3 linked regions of the Schizosaccharomyces pombe genome follow. The main gene of each other region encodes a partner of the protein of the gene in region 3 in a complex. Each region holds a gene or a part of one and is shown on either strand. Other genes may lie near its edges. The genes, in order: ytm1, ppp1 and erb1.

Region 1 (7,745 bases), on a different chromosome or scaffold from region 3:
GGTAAAACGGCTTCCAACCACTCAGAACTTGTGATATGTATTCTGGAGCGTGTACTTCTAAAAAAAAATAATTAGCCTTCAGAATTGATCAAACCTGCTTCAACATACGACCAATAATGTCTCCTAACTCTGGCAATTTTAAATCACGCTCCGTTGCAGCTTCAATCGCAGCATAGCCACGTGATAGAAGTTCATAAATACCATTTTCAGTCGATGAAAATGATGGATCATTGATGTCCATTTTCCCAAGCTCCAAATGAAGGACAGCTGGAAATGTTGGCTGCTGGTGCGTTTCGACCAGGCAAGGTATTCGTTGGTACAAACACGTATGCCAGAAGTTAGTTGCTTGAAGTTTTCATCTAGCAAGTTTTAGAAACATAAAACAATAGGAAAAATACTAAAAGACACATTTAAAAATACGATGTTCCCACTTCACTCAGTTATTCTTTTTGAGTAGCACTATAAATTCTCTGAAGCGCCGTAGCAGTTTGATATTAACCATATACTTCAACAATGAGTTTATAAGAACAACGCAATAATATTGCGGTTGAAATTGTAATTGTTAATCATGTGTAAGTGCAATACATAATTTAAGAAAAAAGACAGTTGCGAAGATGATTTCTTGATAGGGACAACAGATTTAATTATGTTGAAAAAAAATCGGGAAAAGATAGTAGATATATATTGCTGAGCATTACTGTGATTTTTCTGTATTCACATACTATTCTATTTTTACTGAACTATACTAACTTTCTCTAGCAGGAGATCTACTTTTAAATTGGTGGTTGTACTAGCTCGAGTAGTTTTCTTTTTAGACTTCCTTTTGTATGGAAACGTGCAATTTAATGCATGTGAATATAACCAGAGTTTTAGTGATGGAGGAATAGCCTTCCGATCTCCATAGCTTAATAGAAATGTTATTTTTAACTAATTCTTTGTATGGCATATGAGATACTTCGATTGGTATGTGTGTAAATGATTATCGTAACTTTAATGAATGTTTAGTAATGTAAAACTTTCAGGATGAAGTCGTCAATATTTTTACCTAAAATCCCGTATTACACAAACCAGAGTCATAAAATACGAACGCGATTACTCTCAATAGCTGATTACAATACGACATAAGTAGCTTTTCGAAATTACAAGCCCGAATCCAGCAATTTCTTCCAAAATCAACTAAATATTACCTTCTATTAAGACATAGATTAAAAAACCGACAAACCCTTCCTCTTAAAGTATTGTATACCCATAACTTCTAAGACTCGTTTATTATATTCCGCAAGTTAGAAAAATAGCAAAAGAAGTCACTTCCTAACCTTTAATACCTAAAATCTCCCTTAAAGCAACTGGGTCGCTTACTGCTGCTCGCTTTTGTGCCAAAAATTTTCTTCTGGTATGGAAATGAATGCTAGCGGGTCGGTTGCCTTCTTTGACCTTCTCGACAGAGGAAGTGGACTCTGGTTTATCCTTTAATTTTATTTTCTTTTTCTTTTTCTCTTCTTTGTCGCTTGAGCCTGATTTTCTCTTTTTTGAAGAACTTTCCTTATCCTTTTTCTTGTGCTCTTTTTTCTTCTTCTTCGTTATTTTTTCCAACTTTTTAGGATCAAGAGCCGAACCAGTAGAGGTCTTTTTCTTACTTTTCTTCTTAGAAGAGTGCTTCTTTCTTTTTTCACGCTTAGCTTCATCGGATGAAGACGCATCTTCACATACACGATCCTCATCCTCCTCTGCTTTTTGCATCCATTCAGAAAATTCACTAGTAAACGTCCCACCCAAAACAAATCGTCTGGATAGCTCAAGTGATTTTAAACCCTTCTCATTCGCACTCTGTCTCTCGTATGTTAGTTGCTGCACCTTTGCTTTCTCAGCATAGACACCATACGCAGACTCATCGCCGTTAAGTCGACCAAAAATAGCGTTGAATTCACCTAAACCGCTCCATTCAAGATCGTTAGTTGCTTTGGCTCCAATTCCCAGTGTATCATCTTTTAGGCTGACCTTGATGTTATGAATGCGACCATGTTGCTTTTCACCCAAGCCATTACCATTCACCCAACCGTAGGAGGATAAAAGCTTAAATCCCAATCTATTTGTATCTTTTGCCCATTTAGAATTCCGAGGATCCACACCAATCTGTTGTTTCTTTTTTACACCAGCCAAACCCATGATGTCCTGTTAATCTTCAATAAAATTTTTTTTTTATCGACGATCAATATGTGAGAGGACAAAAAAGAATGAGAATAAATTATAAGAAGTAATCAATTGTAAGAAATAATTAAAATTGCGAACAGCGCAAAGTAATATACATAAAAATATGTAGCAGCCTGAGTCCTAAAATCCCACCAAATCCTAGAACCGATGAATTCTTTCCCAAAATAAAACCTTTTTCGAGGATAGAATCAATTGAGTCTCCTCTTCTTTTATAAAAATATAAACACACGATAAATCAACGATCTAAACAAAGTCTTCTCGCTAATTGAGAAACTCTCCAAAATTTCTCGAGTATTGCACTCAAATTGGTGAAAAAGGATAAATTGATAGATCTTTATTAAGTTTTAAAAAAGAAAAGTACTGGTTCTTGGAATTTCTTGAAAAGTGGTGGGCTCAAGAAGGGAATATATGCAGTTGGTAAACCGGCTATGTGTTAAAAGCGCTATAGATGCTTTCAAAGGCATAATTGAAATCTTCTTTCAAATAACGTGAAAGCATTCCAAAAAATTACAATGTTATAATGAGCTGTAAATAATACCGGTCAAATCATCATTTAAGTCGTTTTAAAAGAAGTATTTCAAAAGACGTTAAATCTTACAATTCGAGCATACTCTGGAAAAAAATAAGCTTTAAAAAAGTTTATCCTTTTACTTTTAAAGCATACTTTAAATCTTCTAATATTATTTTTGTTATTCTTAGATTTTGTTCAACTGTTACTTTTCTACTCAAAAAAAAAAGCTGAATTAGGACCGCTATCGATGAATACGAATTGGGTTGATTAAACTTGAAAATTCTTAAAAAACAGTCTCGTAACATCTTGATCAATTCAGCCAAAAGTCATTATCCTCATTTTTTTGGTACTGGAAATTTTGATCTTTTCGACACTCCTTCCACCAACAACAGAATGGATGCCCAAAGCGCTCCTTCAGGCCAAGTTCAAGTCCGTTTTACTACTAGAAATGAGGATTTAGCTGTTGGTGACACGCCGATTTTTGTTCCTACATCTTTAAAGCGGTACGGCTTATCTCAAATTGTAAATCATCTTCTAAAAACAGGTATGTTTTCAGTTAACACATACTGGGTCAAAGCAGGAGAAAAGTCGCATAATTCAACCAACTTGAAGAAAATTTGAAGCAATAGAATAGCTGGTCTCATGCAAGGCCCAATTACTATAAAACTGTGTAGAAGCTGAAATTTGTTGGCGAGAATCAAATGGGGGCTTCTCGAATCTAAGAGTTACTCTAGTGTTCTTTTTCACGCCTTTCTTAAAATTTTGTAAAATTCTTGAAGATGCATTACTAAAAGCCCTTTTTTTATTTTTTTGTCTCTTTTACCTTTCATCCTCGTTTTGCTTCATTGCTATACAATTTTGCGATTTTTTAGTTAATTTAATTTATTTCCTTACTAACTTTACTAGAAAAGCCAACACCCTTTGATTTTTTGGTTCAGGGTCAGCTGTTAAAAACTACTCTCGATGAGTACATAGTTCAAAACGGATTGTCTACGGAGTCGATTCTTGATATTGAATATATCCAATCTACATTACCACCTGCATATTTAGCTTCTTTCTCTCATGACGATTGGATTTCTGGTATTCAACTAACCTCAGATACCATTCTTACTTCTTCATACGATGGGATAGCTCGTGTTTGGGATAAAAGTGGTGAAATAAAATTTCAATCAACTGGATGTGGATCATCTTTAAAAAGTGCATCCTGGCATATACCTAATCAAAGTTTTCTCACTGCTTCACTTGATCAAAAAATTTTTCATTGGGTGATCGAAGAGCCAGAATCAATGTTGGATGCTGAAAAGAAAAGCTCCGGTATCCTTCAAACTCTTTTCGTAGGGCACAAGGATATAGTTGAGCGCGTACGATCCTTAGAATCTTCAAGCGTTTTTATTTCTGCTTCTGCGGATAATACTGTCGGAATTTGGGATTTTGAAAGGTCTCCTGAGACTACCCTCGAGTCCTTTTCCTCGTCTATATCTAAAAAGAGACGTCGCAAAAATGCAGAATTCACACCTCAAGCTGGGGCTCGCTCTCCGCTGATCCTTTGTGAGGGGCATACTGGACCGGTGATGGATATCGTCTTTTCTGATGATCCAAGTGTTGCATATTCCGTAGGCCAAGATCACACAATTAAGACTTGGGATCTCATTACTGGGCAAAATGTTGATTCCAAGATAACCAAAGCTCCTCTTTTATGCGTGGAAAAACTTACTGACCTACACTTAGTCATTTGTGGTTCCTCTGCGCGACACATTGTTGTTCACGACCCTCGAGCGGGAAGCGACAAAATTGTGAGTCATACTTTATCCGGCCACAAGAATTTAGTTTCCGGATTATCGGCAAGCCCAGAAAATCCCTATATGTTTGCATCCGTCTCTCACGATAACACTTGTCGTGTTTGGGATGTCCGTGCTACATCCGGCAGTATTTACACAATTTCTAGAGCAGAAAAAACAGGCTCTCAGTGGGATAAACTTTTCGCTGTTGATTGGAATAAATCCATTGGTATTGTTACGGGAGGTACTGACAAACAACTTCAAATCAATCAATCCTCATCCTTTGGAAAAAGCGAATGAAAAAAGATGTAGCATAAAAAAAATTGACAGATTATGATTTAGTGTGGTACAAGCGGGATAAGTTAAGGAACAAGGTCATTACTACTAGAGATTAAAAGTTTGATTAAATTATTTAAGAGAACACTTTATTAAAGCAAAATAAGTTAATAATTCAAATTATACACACCACGTAGCTTAGTAATCGTGTAATAAACTTAAGCTTCAGAGCAAGTCTGTGAAATGTTTTGAAGAGTCTGAAAAACTGGTTTCTTCCGGCTCCTCTTCCTCTTTGACTGAGCTTTGATTAAACATCAGAGAGGAAGATGATTGCGGGTTTTTTCTACCAGAACCAACTGTAAAAATTGCAGTAGCATTTATACGAGTGTTAAATGGCTCTCCGGAAGGAAAATGGAAACTTTTGTGCAATCGTTCAAAAGGAGAATGAAAAGGTGTTTGCCTTTGAACGGTCGAACTGGAAGGTTTAGATGAAATAATAGAAATTAAAGAATTTGAAGATGCAGAAGAGACGTTTGAATAGGATCTAGTACGGGATGAATTCCTCGAAGAAGCAACGGAAGAACGCCCAGACAAGCTGCGTATGGGAGTTCGTGATCGTCGAGTCGGCTGGGGAGATATGACAGTATTTTGCAGAGGAGAAGGTGGAATATCAATATTAATTGAGAGGTTCGAACTTTTAGAAGGGCTATTTTGAGAGTTCGAGGGGAAGGTAAAGTCTTTATTACCGTCGAGGTTTACCGTTTTTAAAAGAGGAGGAGTGAATGGTGTGTTTTGCTCACCTGTATCAACGTGCGTTGTTTGAGGAAGATTTGAGTGTCTTCTTCCAAAACTGTTAATCGAAGGAAACACGGTAAGGTTCTCAACTGAATTGTCTAAAGACTCAGATAAATTATCGGAATCAAAATTTTCTTGAGTTAAATAGTTTTCAGCCGAAGGACTAGGTGTTCTTGGTCTAATTGCTGATGAGCTTAACGTATCAGCAGTATGCTTTTGTTTAGGATCGAATAACCAACTACGAAATGTAGAAAGCAAAGAATTACTTGAATCTGACGATGTATGCCGACTTTTTAAAGAATCCTGATTGTTGGACATAACAGAAACTTGAGCGGTTTTTAATGATGGAGTTGCTGGAGCTATGTGTACAGCCGAAGATGAACCTTTATGTAAATGAAACAAACCTTTCTTTTTTTTGTTTTCCTTACGCATTTCTTTTTCTAGTAATAAAAGCCACCATCCATAGAACATGTCACAGCGCTGTTGTGAGATGCTGGCATTAAGTTGATCCATGTCAACACCAACAAATTCAAGCCTTTTACGAACTTTTTCCTCTGCTTTCGAGGAAGGCCTTGGGTCTCGAATAGAAGATGAATGATATCCATTTTCCTTGAAATAGGGGTGAGAGATGATTTGATCGATAGAGGGTCGAAGTCGGTAATCCTTGCAAAGGAGGGATTTCAACAAGCTTGAAGAGTTTTTGGAGAGTGTTTCAGGATATTGAGGACATTCATTGATAATTTTTTGCTCAGTTAAAGATACATCGTCCTCGTCGAACGGGAGCCTTCCTATTAAGAGAGCGTACATAATTATACCCAGAGACCATATATCAACGCATTCACCAATATATTTATGGCCCTGTACTAGCTCCGGAGCACAATAAGCAACTGTACCACAACGTGTGTTCATAAATGTTCTACGGGAACAATCAGAATCTCTAGAAAACCCAAAGTCTCCAAGCTTAACATTGTAGGCTTTATCTAGAAAAATATTTTCGAGTTTAAGGTCACGGTGAACACAGCCTTGTCTATGTAAATACTGAATAGCACAGCATAGCTGCCACATGATACGGCAAGTGGTCTTTTCATCCAGCCTTTTTTCTCTCGCTACCCAGTCATACAATTCACCATTTGGACAATACTCCATGGCAAGATAAATTCGGTCTTCGGTGCATACTACTTCATAAAGCCTCGTGATGTTTGGATGAAGAAGACGCCGATGATGATGAATTTCTCGAGCAAGGATAATCGCTTGTTTCCTGCAAGATGATTTCAGGACAACCTTTAATAAAAATGTTAGCAAGGTACAATCAATTTATTGATGAATAAAACGTTTATCATTCTCATAATGTAATCAACCGACTTTGGAACGGTCAATATTCGCAATTTACGAGCCGTTTATTCTTCTTTTTATAACTTAGAGACATAGTAATCTTTGAATAACCCATACCTTTGTATTTGTCAGTAAATGAGCTGCCAAATAAACTTTTCCAAAGCTGCCTACAACCCATGCTTGTTAGATAGCCGTCCAGTATTGAGCGTTCACAATAACACAAAAGTATCGTACCTTCACCGACAACACTCTCAATGCGATATGTACCGACATCAGAGATACGAGGATTGCAAATTGTTGCAATTAGGTCATTGTATGAGGCCGATATCTGCCATTCATTAGATAATCACGATTTCCCTCTTTTCATATACATACGTTTGCCTTTTCATTTTTCTTCATACTAAAATTTGGCACACATAATATCAAAGGTTGACTTGCAAATTGTTTAGTGTTTACAGTAGGATACTTTGGTGTTATTACAAAGGCTTCGGAGAACAAGCTACCGAAAATTCACCGAGAGCTCGGTGAACTCTTCCCACTCTCTCCTTACTCAGTGTAAACCAGTATGTATGTGCCTTTTATTTACACCACCATTGTACGCCTAGTGTTGAATCAAGACGAAGAATTGAGGGCAATAAGGGGTTATTTATTGGGCATTGTATGACTCAAGTTTGTTATTGAACCATTGTTCTACGTAGGCGGACATCTGACCAGTTTTCAAAAAGTAAAAATAAAAGTTAGCTACTGATCGTTAACTTTGAAACGATAATACCAGCTGTAAAATATTTGAAAAAGGATTTTCTTGTGTATTTATATTTCATATATCTGTTAGTTCTTTATAT
Region 2 (8,154 bases), 1.0 Mb from region 3:
TACTCTTTCCACTTTCTATCGATATGAGACTTATATATTTAAATGCTTACTCCTCTACAAACTGTCGACCATTTTAGACCGTTAAATTACAAATTACTAAATAATTTATTTAGGGAATACCTAAGTACTAAGCGCGTAGCATTGGTATGCTCTGCTCGCAGCACAGATACCAAAGCAGAAGGCACTACTACTAGACTTATTAGAGCAACAGAAGCAGCATTGCGACCTGCTGTAGGTTCTGTGCATGATTTGGTTCGTATTATTGAAACTGATCATGTTCAAGCTGCTCGTGATTTCATCCAGGATGTTGGCATTCAAGACGAACTTATTGATGCTTTTCATGCAGACTGCGTTGAATTGGAACAGTACCTAAATGCTATTAGAGTTCTTTCCGAGGTTTCTCCTCGTACTCGTGATCTCGTGATTGGCATGGGGGAGCGTTTAAGTTGCCGATTTATGGCGGCAGTTTTGAAAGATCAAGGGATCGATTCTGAGTTTATTGATATGAGTCATATAATTGACGAGCAAAGAGAGTGGAGGAATCTTGATGCATCCTTTTACGCATATCTTGCTTCCCAACTTGCTAGTAAAGTTACCGCTGTTGGAAATAAAGTACCTGTCGTTACTGGCTTTTTTGGTATGGTACCGGGTGGTCTTTTGTCGCAAATTGGCCGTGGTTACACCGATTTTTGCGCTGCTTTATTAGCTGTTGGTCTTAATGCTGACGAACTTCAAATATGGAAGGAAGTTGATGGCATTTTCACAGCTGATCCCCGTAAGGTTCCAACTGCTCGACTTCTTCCTCTCATCACACCTGAAGAAGCTGCTGAACTTACTTATTACGGTAGTGAAGTCATCCATCCCTTCACTATGTCCCAGGTTGTTCACGCTCGTATTCCTATCCGAATTAAAAACGTTGGCAACCCACGTGGAAAGGGAACTGTTATTTTTCCTGATACAATTTCACGTCATGGTAGTGCTACACCTCCTCATCCTCCTAAAATTATGCCCGATGATATTTCTGCTAGCCTCGCTAACAAAGGCGCTACCGCGGTTACTATTAAAGACACCATTATGGTTATTAATATTCAATCGAATCGTAAAATATCTGCTCATGGTTTCTTAGCTTCCATATTTGCCATTCTTGATAAGTACAAATTGGCTGTTGACTTGATTACTACTTCAGAAGTTCACGTCTCAATGGCGCTTTACGAAGAGTCTGATGACGGTAATATGCATGAGGCATTCGTTGAATTGCGTCGATTGGGAACGCTTGATATTCTCCATGGTTTAGCTATTCTATCTCTTGTTGGTAAGCACATGAGAAACACTACCGGTTACGCTGGTCGTATGTTTTGCAAACTTGCTGAAGCCCAAATCAACATTGAGATGATTAGTCAAGGTGCTAGTGAAATCAACATTTCATGCGTTATTGACGAGAAAATGGCTGTAAAGGCTCTTAACGTTATTCATAAAGAATTGCTTGAACCCTTAGCTTTACATGAAGTTCCGTCACAGGCCTCGATGTTGGTTGAAAAGCCTTGGCTTTACAGTGCTTAAACGTACTGTAACCTTGAAAGTCAATTTAAAAAATAAAAAAAAAGTGTTGTCTTGCCTTCATTTTTTTGTTCTTTTTGTCTTTAAATATTTTACATTCTCTATTTTAAAATTACCGTGAGTTTTATTTTACTCATTATTATTATTTGTACGTTTATAAATAAATATTGACTACATAAAATTAATATTTTATAATATATCTCAAAAATTGATATTCATCTTCTTTATCTCCCAGTCGAAAAAATGTTAAGCAAAAGTGTATTTATTATATAAAAACGATCAGCTTCAATTAAATTGAACACGAACCTAATCCATGGATACAGTAAAATACAATGAACTCATTTTAAGAAACAAAAAGTAAATGACCCAAAATAATCTATTACTATGATTACTGTTTATTAAACCTAGTTTTCAACCTTTAATTTTTTCCTCTTTTCAATATCCCTCTTCCGATTGCGAAGCGCATTGTTGTAGTTTTCGTTTTTGCTATTTTCGTTTTTCAACTTACTGTAAAGCTTTCTCTGTTTATTACTCATCATCATTTTGGATAACTCCTTTGCCTCTTTTTCTTCTTTTTCTTCTGCAGTCAAAGTATCACGTTGACGCTTCTTAGTCTTTTTCGCGGACTTAGAATTCTGTTTAACATATTCAGAATAAGCGACACCGCCTGCTTCTGCCTCCAGCTCTCGTTGATGTTCTAAGTCTTCCTCTTCAGCGTCATCAATTTGTTCAACATTTTCAGGCTCGTCATTCTTCTTACTTATGGGCACTGCTTCGCCAGAAATATTATCATCAAGAGCTTCGGAAACATCGTCGTTCTCTTCAGCAGAAAGTTCAGCTTCAGGATCGTAGTCATTTTCACCTACTTTAACAAATGGACTAAGATGAGGAGGGAGCGTAGCGCCACAGGCATACAAGTCTGTCCTTTCCAAGATTCCTTTGTTGATAGAGTCGTATACCCATTGTGGTTGAATATATATCCTACCTTCGTACTTCTGTGAAATATGAGGACGATCACATATATGATGAGTAATCACAGGATCAGATTCTGAAAATGGAGAACCTGATCCGAGAATTGGATCCCATCCAACTTTACCACCAAAGGCACGAATCACAAATTCCAGAGAAAAACGGGGGACTTCACGAGAAAGGAAAAAAGTAAAATTAGAAAACAACGAGGTATTAGATGATGAAATATGTGATACTAGGCTTTTGGAATCCTCATTATCTGCACCATCAGCTGGTTTAAACTCATCTAAGTTTTCCTCCGTTTCAGGTTCCTCATCAGCATCCTCAGTAGTTTTTTCCGACTGCTCAACGACGTTCGCATCACTATTCACAATATCTCTTATTTTACTTTTTAAAGTAGCAATATTCTTACGAGCATTTTTGTTATTACCATGGACGATAGCGGGTAAGGAAGAAGACTCCTCTAACTCATAAGCTGCTAAACCAGCGGCAGATTCGCTTTTAGCAACATCAATCTTAGGGGGATAACGAAGTCCCAAGGTATTATATAACTTGAAATTTACAAACCCCATAAGTGCTTGATAAAATTCCAAAAAAGTGTGCATGATACGAAAATCAACATCGGTAGGAACAGATTGAGCAAATTTGTAGGGAACAATCCAGGTGATTTGCTCACCAAAAATCTCGGCCTGATAATAAATTCCTTTAATAGAGAGGAAAGCTTTACGAAGGGAATTTGACCGAATTACATAGTGTTGAAATTCAGCACATAATCTTTCACAATTAGCGACAGTAGCGGCACCAATCTTGTCGGTAACAGGCATAGTTGAAAATAAGAACAGCATACTAAGAGCATCATCAATATCTTTCAAGGCATCATGGAAGGTTGGGTAACGCTCTTTAATGATATGATCCAAAGAATAAGTGGGTTTTCTGGCCTCTAAACGTTTAGCAGTTTCTAATTCCCCTTTTCCCAATGCTTTGCTAAGCTTGCGAGCGAACACTTTGTACTCGCGAAACTTCTGTACAATAGGCTCATGTAACAAATACTGGATATCCTTAGTATAATCTATTATATTTATTAGTACATAATTTCATTCTTTTAGTTCATCAAAAAAAGACTAGCCCATGATAAAATTGACCATTCGGAAAATGCTTTTTATACCAAACGTCCATGTTCAGATAGCTATGATTCCGGTAAAAATTGATGCTATTAGACTTACAGAAAGTGACTGGAGCAGTGGAGCCTTTATTTGCTTTTTTCTTATTTTTTGGCTCACGAGGATAAACACCCTTTAAAATACAAATACGACGAAAATCAGCAAGAGTGAGCTGAAGCTTCTTAAGCGCTTGATTTCTCGTAATGTAGATACGAGCTGCACCTGCTTTCCCTGTTTTCAATTAGAAAATTTTTTTACAAGCTACATACCTTTCTGTTTTACCCTCGCCATTTCTTCAATTTGATGGCTTTTTGCAGAAAGAGGGTGTTGGAAGAATTTTGCAAAATCCAAAATCCTTCATACAGACTAGCTTAGCTCTCTGCACTGCGTAAATGGTGTTAGATGGTAGTATTATCTCACAGCGCTAAATTTTCTTATACTATTTTACGTTAAATTTCGCTATATTTGTGTTTTTCCGTACTTTTGAGATAAATCTTTGCGGCAAGGGACTAATTGATTTTTGATAAGTTTGTAAAGGTCTTGTAATTTAAAATAACTATCAAAACTTCTACAATTACTCCAAGTGAATCAATGTTCGACGATTTAGTTGTTAGCTACTCAAGTAAGTTATAATCTTAAGCAATACAGTAGTGATATATTAAAGTATTTATGTTTATTACATTTTACGGTAAATAAACAAATCTTCAGGTACGCAGCTAGGCATCTGTTTTAACGACAGGTAGAGTTGCGATGAGTCTTCCTTGTGATTTATTAAATTATATAGTACGCATATGATATATATAGCAATTTGTAATAGATATTCTTATATTCAGGTTACGTCGTTTTCTGTCACTAAAATATTATTATATGAGCCTCGCTCCTCAGTTCAGTTGTAGCTTCCATTTATCATTTTTATAATAATTTATATCAACGGTTTTTGTGTTAAATAGATAGACGGGTATACGCAGTTATTAATAATCTGATTTCACTTCAACTTATGGCATACAAAGTTACTCAACGTTGAATAACATAGCATAGTGTATCAGCGCTGAGATTTATGAGACCGTATGTATATGTTTGTGTAAAGGGAAAATTCACCCAATTTATCGTATTGCTAAAGCACTTTATAGTAAGAGTGTGATAAGTTTCTTTTCGATCATCTTACTTTTATAGAGCTATTATTTTACTACAAATAAATAAGTTCGTTCACTTTGCATAATATCAACTATACGCAGTTAGTTTGCCCGGATCAAGAAATTCATGTTTAGCTGGTCTTCGTTATAAACATACTAAAGAATAGAAAGATTTTACTAATATCAGTTTTTGTTAACACTATTGAACCATTATGAGTAATGTCGAGGGTAAAGTAATTACTATACAACAAATAATGGCATTTTTTGTGAATTTAGGTACTGCCTATAATAATATAAATACTAAAGCTCGTGAAAATATTTGAATATTGTAATCTAATTTGTTCTTTTTTTTTACGAATTTTAGTCCGGAAAATTTTACTAATATACTAATTACTGTCATTGTCTGGTCTCCTGTTTCCTACAACTAGCAGTTTTAATTTTACAATCAGTCATCAAAAAAGGATTTGAAATGAAGCAACTTAATGGACATTAAAGAACGTTCCATTTAGAATTTCAACATCTTTTTATCAGCATCAAAGTTAAATCAAGTTTTGCTAGCTAATTAACATGTAATTTTATTAATAAGTCAAAATTATGCAGAAAGCCAAGAAAACTAAATTTATTATATACGCAATATGATAGCACAACAACGCTATTACAGAATTCTTTTGCTATTGGACTTATGATGAAAAAAAAAAAAAAAACGAGCGTAAAGGGAGTTAATCAAAAACAAGAAATTTACACTAGGGCCGCCAAGCCAGCCAAAGCACTGTTTCTTTTGGCTTTCCTCTTTTTCTTTGTATTTAGTACAGTACTTGCTCTTTTCTCAACGGGAATAGGATTGGATCTATCTTCCTTCTCCGAATTGTCGCTTTCATCTGAAGAACTCCCTGACTCTTCACTTTCAGAAGATTCATCAGAACGCCCTTCTTCTTTTGATTCCTGCATACTGACCGCGGTCTTCTTCGTAAGAGAAGGTTCTCTAATTTCAGGAGAAAACGTTTTAGACAATTCTGAAAGACGTGAGTAAGACAATGTCCTATGAGTCTCCGGTCTTTCCGTAGAAGGCTTAGCTTTAGGTTCCTTCGGGGATCCTTTGGTTCCTCTATTCTGTATCTCGTGAGATACAGAATTTCGTTGTTGTGATTTCTTCTGTAGTTGACTTAAAGGAACAGAGGAGTCCGAGTCTGAATCCGAATCTGAATCATTTTCAGAACCAATCTCATCAGAAGGTTCATTTCCCGCTGCAGATATCGTCGATGTAGTAACAAGGGTCTGGGAAGGAGGGGGAAATTTGCTTTTACCATTCTCACTTTCTTTATCATGCTTAGCTGAAACGTTATCATTAACCAGAGATTTATTCGGGCTATCAACCTTCGTTAAATCATCACTAGTATCTGAATTTTCGGACGGGGAAGAAGATATAGAGGTCGTAGAGGATTCAGAAAGGGTATCGTTCTCCGATTCGGTGGTATCGTTTTCGGAAGGAACGGCAGTGGATGGATGAGATGAAGTTTCTCTAACTATTATTGCAGGAGCTCTAATTTCATGCTTTGCCTCCGTTTCTTTTTCATCGGATACATCTGATGAACTGTCATCATTGACTGAATCTTCATTTGGGCTTTCAACAGAAACTTCTCGAGTAGAAGAACGCAATGATTTATCATCAATTCCATCAATGGTTTCACTTTCTTTAATTAATGCGGCAGGAGAATGTTCGACTAAATATTTTCTATCATTATCTTTCATGCGAAGACGGGAAGGCGATGATAAAGTTCGCAAGGGAGCATCTGACGATGAATCAGAAGACGCATCGTTAATTGAAAAAAAGTTAGCTCGATTATAAGTTGTTGGTTGACTTGGTGTTAAGGAACTATTGAAGGATTGGTGATTATCATCTTCCTCCTGAGTAACTGATAAATTAACTATACCGTCAGCCTTTCTATCTTTATCTGGACTTTCAATTTCTTTTAAAGCAATCCCTTCGGTTAATGTACTTTCATTATCATGATTTGAAGAAATTGAGTATGCTCGATCGCGAATACTAGTTGGTCTGTATACAAATCCAGGAGAGTTCGCATCAATTGCCTCTACAAAATTTTTTTTTGGTAGTTTTCGAGGGTTTTCACTCTCATCCGGATGCGTACGCTTCCCATTGATTGCATGAACACCATTAGATGCACTTTGGACAGTAGCGAAATCATTTTCAACGCCATCTAAATCATGTTGAATATTTTTTTCTTTGAAGTTTATCATAGTCCCATCTAATTTCTTCAACGGAGAAGAGAATGATTCGACAATGACCTTGGAATTAGTGGGAAAGATTTCACCGACTAAGTACTCATTAGGAATGTCGTAGCTTTCTTCATTTTTTATATTTCTTATGTTTATATTTCTATAATAATTTTCGTTAATAGTAGAAAGATGGAGCATGCTGCTATGCTTACGATTCAAAAGGATAAAGTGATTTGTAAGTTTCCTGCACTTTTTCTTTTAATAAAGAAATTGAAGAAGATGGGTCAAACAGAATCATAAATTGATTATCTTGTTCACCATCTTTGATTATATGAAGCCTTAATGTAGTTCTCATTTCGAATATTCAGCAAATTTCTTTATTTGATTCTTACGGAGAAGTGGATCCGGCAAACTAGTTATAATGGAATTAATCAGTATTAAAAAGACGTTAAAACAAAGTAAGTTATTTAAAATGGAATGCCCATTTCTTGACACCAATGGGTATCCAAAGTTGGTTGCTCTAAGGAAGTGCGTAAAGTTCTATTCGCAATTTACTCGGCATGACAGCAGGAAGGGTGGGACAGCAGTGATGAACAAGTTAAAGGTGTAAAATAATGCTAAATGTCAAGAAATAAAAACTCATTACTCATTCCTACGACTCGAGCATATTGACACGTATCTTAAGGTTTTATGGTCCTTCCAAATCTAACGAAACATATTGGCTTAATATATCTTCCTTTCAATTGCGTGAATTAACATTTGAATACAAGTAAATAAACTATCATAGATTAAAAGAACGACAGATGTATTAGTCAGAATTAAAGAATATTCAACAGAAAAGTAGTTTGACGTCTCAGAATAATTTCTATAGGTTGTAAATTAGCTTAAAGCAATTAATTGGCAGAAAAATTAAATGATAGGAGTTATCTATTAGTAAATTGTTAATTCTCCATATGTAAATCCGGATCGAGGAACATTATTGTTTGACCATTGTTTGTAGTTAAAAGAACACCAAGGTCTGTATATTCCTGTATTGTATTTATTAAATGATCTTCAGTAAAACCCTTAGCAAGTACGCGTTCACGAATAGCACGTAGTGT
Region 3 (8,623 bases):
GTGAGCGTCTCTTCATCCTTTTTCTTTGGATGATACGAGCAACTTTCGCCTGCTTTTCTTTCGCTTCGTTATCCTCTACATCGGATTCAGAACGCTTCCTTTTCAGATTATCCTCATCTTCTTGTTGCTTCAATTGTTTTGCTTTTTGCCGAAACGACTTTTCCTTTTCTTGACGTCGCTTAACAACCTGAATGTTTTCAATAGCAAATTCGACAATTAGACGACGAGGACGATCATTGTAATCGATATTTGGTAGCTGCGGCTCAGGAATTTTATGCTTTCGCGCCCACTCAATTTCTGCATCTATTATTTTTTTAACAGTAATTTCCCGTCCATTCAGCCAGCGTAAAGCCATAAGTGCATATTTATGAGAAATAAATTGCATGAAACCAAAACCCTTTGATCTTCCAGCACCAGCCTTCTCAGTTTCTACCTTAGCTTGCTTAAGTACACCACCACTTTTCCCCCTTTTAAGTCTGTGTCCCTTGTCAAGATTCTCTTCCTCTTCAGTTATGTTAGCTCGTAATCCTTTCGAAACGTCGTCCATAAATCCACGAATAGCTTGTCTACCCAGCATTGCTAAAATTTTAGGATCAATGTGTCTAGAAATATTACGAATAGAGAGACGATTAAGAGAAAGATGTAAGGTGGGATTTTTCTCCAATAATTTTTTACGTTGGGCGATAGACTGACTTCTTAACGTTTTGTCAGTCTCAGATAAACTGTTAAACAAAGGATGATCGGCAGCAATTTTACCTTCATTGAGAAGAAATAGATGACGCCTATCAACACCTTTCCCCATTTTTTGCTTTCTCTCTTGTAAACTTTTTTGATTAATGTCCGAAGCCTCTTTTCGTGTAACAGCGCTCGTAACTTTCAACAAACGACCATGTAGAAGGAAACGAGAACTTACGCTGTCAGTATCAATTCCCTCATCTACTAAAACTGATGGAAGAAAACGTTTTTCAGCCTCAGTAGGCTCTTGTGTAGGTAACTGAGAAGCCATTTCAAGACAATTTTGACAATCCTTTTCATAACGGAACTTAATAAAACCCCTTCCCAATGAACGATCAGTAGCAGGATCCTTAACTAGCTTAGCGTATGCAAGCGGCCCAAATTGACGAAAGTGATTATACAATTCTTGTTCCGTACACTCAAACAAAAGGTTGCGAACAAACACAGTGTCCTCCAATCCTTCATTGTCCCGAATTTCATGATTTATAGAATTTTTGTCAGAAGATGAATCACCAGAATCCTCTACATCGTCGACATTGCTACCCTCTTCTTCACTTTCCCCCGCCAATTCTTTACCCTCCGAATGCCCATCCACTTCCTCCTCAGATTCTGAGTCCGCAGAAGCATCTTCAGTTACAATTGAGTGTCCTTCATCAGATACAAATTCTTTGTTTTCCTCCTCAGAAGATGCATCCTTTAATGTAGTAGCTTCGAATGCATCTTTACTAACTGCCCAGTCAACGGCAATAGGACGACCATCAATTTCTGTCCCATTTAGAGAATTCATGGCTTCCTCAGCAGCTTTACGATCTTTCATCCAGACAAAGGCGAAGCCGCACATACGACCTCCACCCTTTGTAGGGATTTTAATTTCACGAACTTTACCAAACTTTGAAAAATGAGGCTCCAAATGTTGTGGCTTTTTAATTGACCAAGGAAGATTTCGGATAATTAGACGAGGTCGATTATCCTGCCTAATTGTCTTCTTAACAGCCTTATTCTGGTCTGTGTCTACCTCCGATCGTTTACGGGGAGTAGCGAAATCCAATCGAAGAATTCTTCCATGTAATTTTTTATTTTTCAACTCCTTAGCTGCTCTTTGAGCATCTTCAAGCATTGAAAATGTTACAAATCCATATCCTCGATTTTCACCTGTTTCCGGATTAGTAACCACTACTGCATGCTTGATAGGTCCGACATCGGAAAAGAAGTTTGTTAAATCATCTTGCTTTGTCTGGAAGGCAAGATTTCGCACAAATAATGTGCTATTTGAGTTCATGGTACAACGACAATTTCTTTTTTCCTAAGAACATGTACTTTAGACTTTTTCGAAATTAACGAGAAGAAATCTTCAACACTCTATATTATTTAATGACACTCGGTATATTATCATTTCGTTGCAAATCCTTATACATGTTAACGGAAGCGTACTCTACTTTGCAGAAAAAGCAAAAAGAAACTTTGAACAGGAACTAAACTACCTTGTCTTTTTCCAAGATGGAGACTGGCATGAATAGGAAGAGGTCCAGGTCCAAAAGAGCCAATTCCAACGTTGGCGTAGAGAAGGATAAGGAAAAAGAAAAGTCTAAAGGAGTTTCAAATGTGCCAAATGAGGTTGAGACTGAGAGTTCTTCACATGAACCAAGTTTTAAAAAAGATGTTGATGAGGAAATTCCATCTTTGACGGCCGAGTTATCCGAGGAAGAAGAAGGGGAATATTCTTCTGAAAGTGGACGTTCTACTCCAGAGTTATCCCCGGATGATTTTGAGGATGCTGATGATGAAGAAGAATTTGAGGAAATCGATGCTGGTTATTCTTCCGATTCCTCTACAGAAGATGTCGCTCCTGGACTATATGAATCTCCTTATGATGAGAATTTGTATATAAATTATGATATAGATGGAAAAAAGATTACCCGACCTGCGACACCTGCTGCTTTGGATTCTTTAATTGCTAGCATTGATAAGGACAAAGGATGGACTGGAATAGTTGATCCTATGACGGGAAAGCCGGTTAACTTGACTACGGAAGAGCTCGGTTTGCTAAAGCGACTTGCTCAATCCGAGATTCCTGACGAAAACTTTGATCCATATCCTGATTATGATGATTTTTTTACAAACACCGTACGGGAAACTCCTCTTTCAAGCGCTCCTGAGCCCAAACGTCGATTTGCTCCCTCTAAGCATGAACAAAAGCGTATTTTACAGCTTGCTTATGCTATCCGTAAAGGAAGAATTCTCACTTCTGAACAGCGTGCTGAACGTGAACGCGAAAGTCAAAGCAATTATGCAGATCATGATCTTTGGGCGGATGATGATCAAGCAACTGTTAACCAGAGAAAGTTGGACTATGCACCTGCACCTAAGCTTCCTCCTCCATCACACGAGGAAAGCTATAACCCTCCTGAAGAATACTTAAAACAGTCTTCGGACTTTCCTAAGAAATATAAATCCTTACGTGTTGTTCCTGCTTACTCAAACCTTATAAAGGAGAAGTTTGAACGTTGCTTGGATCTTTATTTAGCTCCCCGTGTTAGACGTACCAAACTTAATATTGATCCAGAATCGTTACTTCCTAAACTTCCTACCCCCTCTGAGCTTCGTCCATTTCCGACACGCTGCACCAATGTTTTCATCGGTCATAAAGGTCGTGTTCGTTGTCTTTCGGTCCATGTTAGCGGAAATTGGCTTGCAAGTGGAGGTGATGATGGAGTTTTACGTATTTGGGAAGTAATGACTGGTCGTTGTGTTTGGAAATGCAGCTTGGACAGTTTTGGTAATGCACATAATATTGATAGCGATGAGGATGCGGTTAATGAATCTTTAAGTCACTCTACAAAGAGCTCTATAATTCAATCACTTGCTTGGGGACCTCTTTCAGATAGTCCAGTGCTTGCTGTTGCTGTTGATGAAACAGTCTATTTCATCACACCCCCGATCTTTTCTGACGAGCAGATTGAAGCTTCTAAAGAATTGTTTACTTCTGCTCCTTACCAAGAATCTAGTGCAATATGGAGAAGAGGAGCCAAACAATCTTTACAATTACATGGTGGTATAGTCCATGCTACTGTTTCTACTCCCAGTAGCATTAAGTCCTTGTCTTGGCATCGTCGCGGTGATTACCTAGCTACTTCTTCTCCTACTTCTTCTAGCCAGGCGGTTCTTATTCATCAGTTGTCAAGAGGTGCAAGTCAATCGCCATTTTCTAAGTCTAAAGGTTCTGTGCAAGCTGTTACGTTTCACCCTACTATGCCTTATCTTCTGGTTGCTACTCAACGATATGTCCGCATATACAATCTTGTTAAGCAAGAGCTTGTAAAGACCTTGTTAACTGGTGTCAAATGGGTTTCGAGTTTAAGTGTCCATTCGAGTGGGGACCATGTCATAATAGGTTCCTATGATAAAAGGCTATGTTGGTTCGACTTAGACTTTTCTTCTAAACCATATAAAAATCTTCGATATCATTCACGTGCTCTTCGCGATGTCTCATATCATCCTTCCCTTCCACTATTTTGCTCTGGCTCTGATGATGGTGATGTTCAAGTGTTCCACGGTCGTGTTTACAGTGACCTTCTGGCTAATCCCTTGATTGTTCCTCTTAAGATTTTGCGGAATCATAAAGTGGTTGATAATGTCGGTGTTTTATCCACATGCTGGCATCCAAAAGAAGCCTGGTTATTCAGTGCAGGTGCTGGTGGAGAAATTCGGATGTGGACTTGAAAAAGGTTTGAAACGTCTTAAATATTTTTGTTTTCTTCACTTGCTTTAAAATTTAGAAAAACTCTACTTTTAAAAATAATGTTTGGTAGTGTTTACTGCAAAAGATACTTTTTCAATGCTGTATTATAGTTTTGCTAACAAGTCGAAAAGATTGTTTTCGTACTTGATTTTGGATATTTAATAGGAATATAGGGGTTTTCGAAAGTTTAAAATGCATTTGTGCAAACTGAATATGTTTTTATTTTTTATTTTTTGGTAAGTTATCTAAAGTATTTAAGTATTACGTGATATCAAAAATCGTAACCGTTGAAATTCAATAGTGCTTTTTATATATCTATAGTTACCTAATCATTAATTGCTTAATTATAAAAATACAGCAAGTTTAAATGCAAGTAAACATGCTGGACTTTGTGGATTAAATGAAATGATTTAAAATCTCCAAGATTTCCAAGACAGCTTTCCTTATAAAGCTAAAATCGATGAAAGAAGTGAAAAAATAACAAAAAAAAAAGAAAAAGAAAGTGATGAGTAAGTCTGAGTTAATCCAAATTAAACTTGACTGATATCGCCTTGCAAGGACGGCAAATAGGGGTATTTTCTATCATAAAATAACCCTCATCTCCAAGTAGGGCATTACAAGCTCCGCAGGTCCAACATTGGCTATGATATTCACCATCAGACCCTTTTACACTGATCCCCAAAATGGGTTTACGGCATTTCTTGCACTTAACAGCATACTTATTATCATAACAAGTCTGACACCAGTATAGGTCGTCACGGTAAATACAGGGTATATTTACATTAAAAACTTCAGAGCAACCAGCGCAAAAATGATGATTTTCATGAAACCAATCATTGTTGATATGGACCGCTTGGTCTTCAATTGGGGTTTTGCAGTGCTTACAGCGAGGACTGAACTGTTCATGATAGTCTAGATGACAATAAAATTTTCCCTCGCGGTAATAAAATCCAACGTGCTCTAAGTTCTGGGAACAAGTATCGCATTTGAAGCATTGAGGGTGTAATTTCTTTCCTGAAGCACTAATTATTCTGCCAGCGCGTAAAGAACCGCCGCAACTATGACAGGATTTTTCAGAATTGCCTCTATAAAGAACTGGTTTTGTAGATGTATGAGAAGATACCATTGAAGGCTTAAGTGAATCTGATTGAAATAAATTATTTGAGGACAAGTTGCTAGGCAATTGTGAAGTGGGGGTGGGCAAAGGATATAAGCTATTAGCAGGAGCAGAATGAAAAGAATGCAAAGCGGGTCTACGATTGGAAAGTTTACTGGATTTCTGTAAAGGAAGAGTAGGAAGTTGTTTGGATGCGAAGGTTTTTTGTCTGTCTTCAATGCAATCATGATCAACAAGCGGCTGTAAACCGGTATGACAATCGTAAACATTTCGTACGTCTGGATAATTAACATGTGAATTCAATTCCTCCGGCGAACTAGGAAACTCATCGTCGTCACTGTATGCAAGAGATGGCAATTCAGGTAAAAGCTCCTTTTTTAAGCTATCGAAAGTAGAAGTAGAAGCAGAGGTTAGTAGTGTTTTTTCCGGCGACGAAACATTAGAACGAGAGAGCTCGTCATCAGGCAGATCAAAACGTACACGATTTTGTTTTATTGTTGGATTCCTCTTGGACAAAGGAGATTCAGGAGTCTTCAAACTTGGTTGCGGTAATGGTGTAGCTATTCGACCTCCAGTAAAGTTAAGTGCTCCATCAGATAACCGAGAACGAACTAAATTGTTTAGCGGGGAGCCATTAGTAGAGACCGGCGAAGAAGGAGCAGCACGAGGACCAGTCAATCGACGTTCAAATCTACAAAAACGAAGTTAGATACCTAATTGGGTAATAACAATAAGACAATAGATTACCTTGGTAATTCTGGAATTGGTGAATGCATTTGCTGATATGCTTCTCAACTATCAGGACACTAATCAACGGAAAGAATTCAGGATCGTTGACAACCTTAAGAAATCAGGATAGCCAAGCTCGCAGGGTATAAATCTAGCCGCAACACTTAAAAACAAGATAAAAAATAGGAAGAGAAGGATAAGGAAGGAAAAACAAAAATCAAGCTGGGATTAACTTATAGAAAATTGTTGCCAACGTAAGGATATATATCTCAAAGAGCGGAGTCCCCCAAAAAAACTAGCTGTATTAAAAAAATGCAATTGTAAGCAAGTAGTTATTATTTAGAAAGCAGTAATATTTGCTTTATCCAAAGTGTTTTAGCTAATAAGTGTTGGCTTTGTTTAAGTGTATATTCCAAAATATAAACAAACATTCGTTGTTATAGAAACCAGCCTCATAATAGGTAACATTGTACCTTTAACGAATACTTAGAGAGTACGTATTCAATGTTTGTATACCAGCAGAAAGTAAAAAAATGCGAATATATTAGTAATTAAAGTGAATTAAGCCATTCCTATGCAGAAAATGTTCCAAACGAAATCAATGTTATTTGTTGGACAATTTTATATGTTGCGATTTCATAATATGGTACAATATCTTTTTATAATTTATTTTTTTTATACTTTGGCAGTAGATTATTGTGGAGCGCGTTATTAATGCTTACTGTATTGTTACAGCTCTTTAAATGTCATTAACTACCCCATTATGCTTTGTCAGGCATACAGCATTTCGCTTATTGTTTCATAAATAGAAACCTAATTTTGGCTTTCAAGCTACAGATTGACCTAAGAAAATTCTTTACCAGTTGTAAGTATAATTGTATAAGAAAAAATATGTAGACCCGTGAGTCTGTTCAGTGTGTAGTTACTTATAAGCGTTGCAATGTGTCGCAAAATGATATTGTATATAAAATTACGATCACACTGTACCACACAAACGTCGTTAAAGGAAAAAACACTTTTTTGACTGTAGATTTGTTAGAAGCAAAAGTGTTTGAGAATAGTTTATGTGCGGAATTCTTTTCGCCTTAGCGGAAGACAGAGATAATCTTCTTGAAAGTCCATCTTTTTCAGCTTTACGAAAAAGGATTCGGGCTAGAGGACCTGATTTTTTTGGTAAGCATAAATTGAATAGCGGACCTTGGAATTTGCACTTTGAGTCAAGCGTTTTGCATTTACGTGGCCCTTCTGATCATTTAACGCCTCAACCTCATGTTGACAGTTTTGGAAACGTTTTGTGTTGGAATGGAGAAATTTGGCAAATAAACCATAGCGATCATCACAAATTTACGCTCAATCGTAATGAAAACGACGGTGCAAAACTTTTTGAACTTTTAAACAATAACCCGGGCGACATTGAAAAAATTTTGGGAAGTATTCAAGGACCTTTTGCTTTTGTTTACTACCAAGTTCGTACAAACACATTGTGGTGGGGAAGAGATCGCTTAGGAAGAAGATCCCTTTTGTATAGTTTACGAGATAGTAATTTCGTTCTCTCAAGTGTAGGAAATTCTAGTGATTTCCGAGAAGTTGAGCCTGGGTTTCATAGTGTGCAGGTGGACTTGATCCCAAAAATTAACTTCTCTAAATCATTAATGCAACTGGAAAAAACAAACCCTCTTCCTCCTGTGGATGAGTCCTTTCTCATGGGCTCAATCTCTTCAGACACTGTGGACACATTGCATACATATCTTATCAAAGCGCTTCAAGATAGAGTTTTAACAATCCCCAAACTGTGCTCTTCAAACCTTGACTGTAGTCATTATAGCCGAGTTTGCGTTCTTTACTCTGGGGGAGTGGATTGCGGTGTATTAGCACGGCTAATGCACGACATAGTTCCCAATAACGAGTCCATCGATTTAATTAATGTGGCTTTTGAAAACCCAAGATTTACAGAGACATACCGTGACAGAGAGACGGGACTTCTTCCTGACAATTTTGATGCATACGACGTATGTCCTGATAGACAAACTGGATTACAAGGCTGGCAGGAGCTTATTTCAGTTTGCCCTGCTCGAAAATGGAATTTTGTTGCTATAAACGTTCCTTATACAGAAGTATGTGAAGCACAGGAAATAGTCAAAACACTTATCTATCCGAACGATTCAGTTATGGATCTTTCTATTGGATTAGCTTTTTATTTTGCTTCACAAGGGCGTGGTGTACTTTTACAAAACGTGGATGATATCAAACTGAAACATCAATTACCTTCCTATACTATAAAAGCTAAAGTCCTCATCAGTGGC

The links.
Region 1: erb1 (region 3) and ytm1 share a complex: the UniProt entries of both Schizosaccharomyces pombe proteins name them as parts of the NOP7 complex.
Region 2: erb1 (region 3) and ppp1 share a complex: the UniProt entries of both Schizosaccharomyces pombe proteins name them as parts of the NOP7 complex.

Annotation. Positions count from the first base shown.
Region 1 is NC_003424.3:5,004,228-5,011,972, reverse strand, and holds ytm1 (ribosome biogenesis protein Ytm1), read left to right. Parts: upstream 1-3,094; 5' UTR 3,095-3,115; coding exon 3,116-3,266; exon of another isoform or gene 3,267-3,374; intron 3,375-3,547; exon of another isoform or gene 3,548-3,628; coding exon 3,629-4,800; 3' UTR 4,801-4,957; downstream 4,958-7,745. Other genes in the region: nucleoporin, WD repeat Nup155, read right to left, coding at 1-57, 109-241; pxr1 (PINX1 family ribosome biogenesis protein), read right to left, coding at 1,312-2,166; serine/threonine protein kinase Ppk16, read right to left, coding at 5,002-6,852, 7,021-7,070, 7,138-7,231, 7,279-7,302. UniProt on the Schizosaccharomyces pombe protein: Component of the NOP7 complex, which is required for maturation of the 25S and 5.8S ribosomal RNAs and formation of the 60S ribosome.
Region 2 is NC_003423.3:3,709,643-3,717,796, forward strand, and holds ppp1 (pescadillo-family ribosome biogenesis protein), read right to left. Parts: upstream 4,016-8,154; 5' UTR 3,978-4,015; coding exon 3,956-3,977; intron 3,944-3,955; exon of another isoform or gene 3,918-3,943; coding exon 3,750-3,917; exon of another isoform or gene 3,596-3,749; coding exon 1,962-3,595; 3' UTR 1,777-1,961; downstream 1-1,776. Other genes in the region: hom3 (aspartate kinase), read left to right, coding at 114-1,560; nucleolar protein Dnt1, read right to left, coding at 5,558-7,214, 7,267-7,409; MCM complex subunit Mcm7, read right to left, coding at 7,996-8,154. UniProt on the Schizosaccharomyces pombe protein: Component of the NOP7 complex, which is required for maturation of the 25S and 5.8S ribosomal RNAs and formation of the 60S ribosome.
Region 3 is NC_003423.3:2,710,256-2,718,878, reverse strand, and holds erb1 (WD repeat/BOP1NT protein), read left to right. Parts: upstream 1-2,219; 5' UTR 2,220-2,232; coding exon 2,233-4,455; 3' UTR 4,456-4,630; downstream 4,631-8,623. Other genes in the region: nop4 (RNA-binding protein), read right to left, coding at 1-2,014; paxillin-like protein Pxl1, read right to left, coding at 4,995-6,282, 6,339-6,367; asn2 (asparagine synthase), read left to right, coding at 7,385-8,623. UniProt on the Schizosaccharomyces pombe protein: Component of the NOP7 complex, which is required for maturation of the 25S and 5.8S ribosomal RNAs and formation of the 60S ribosome.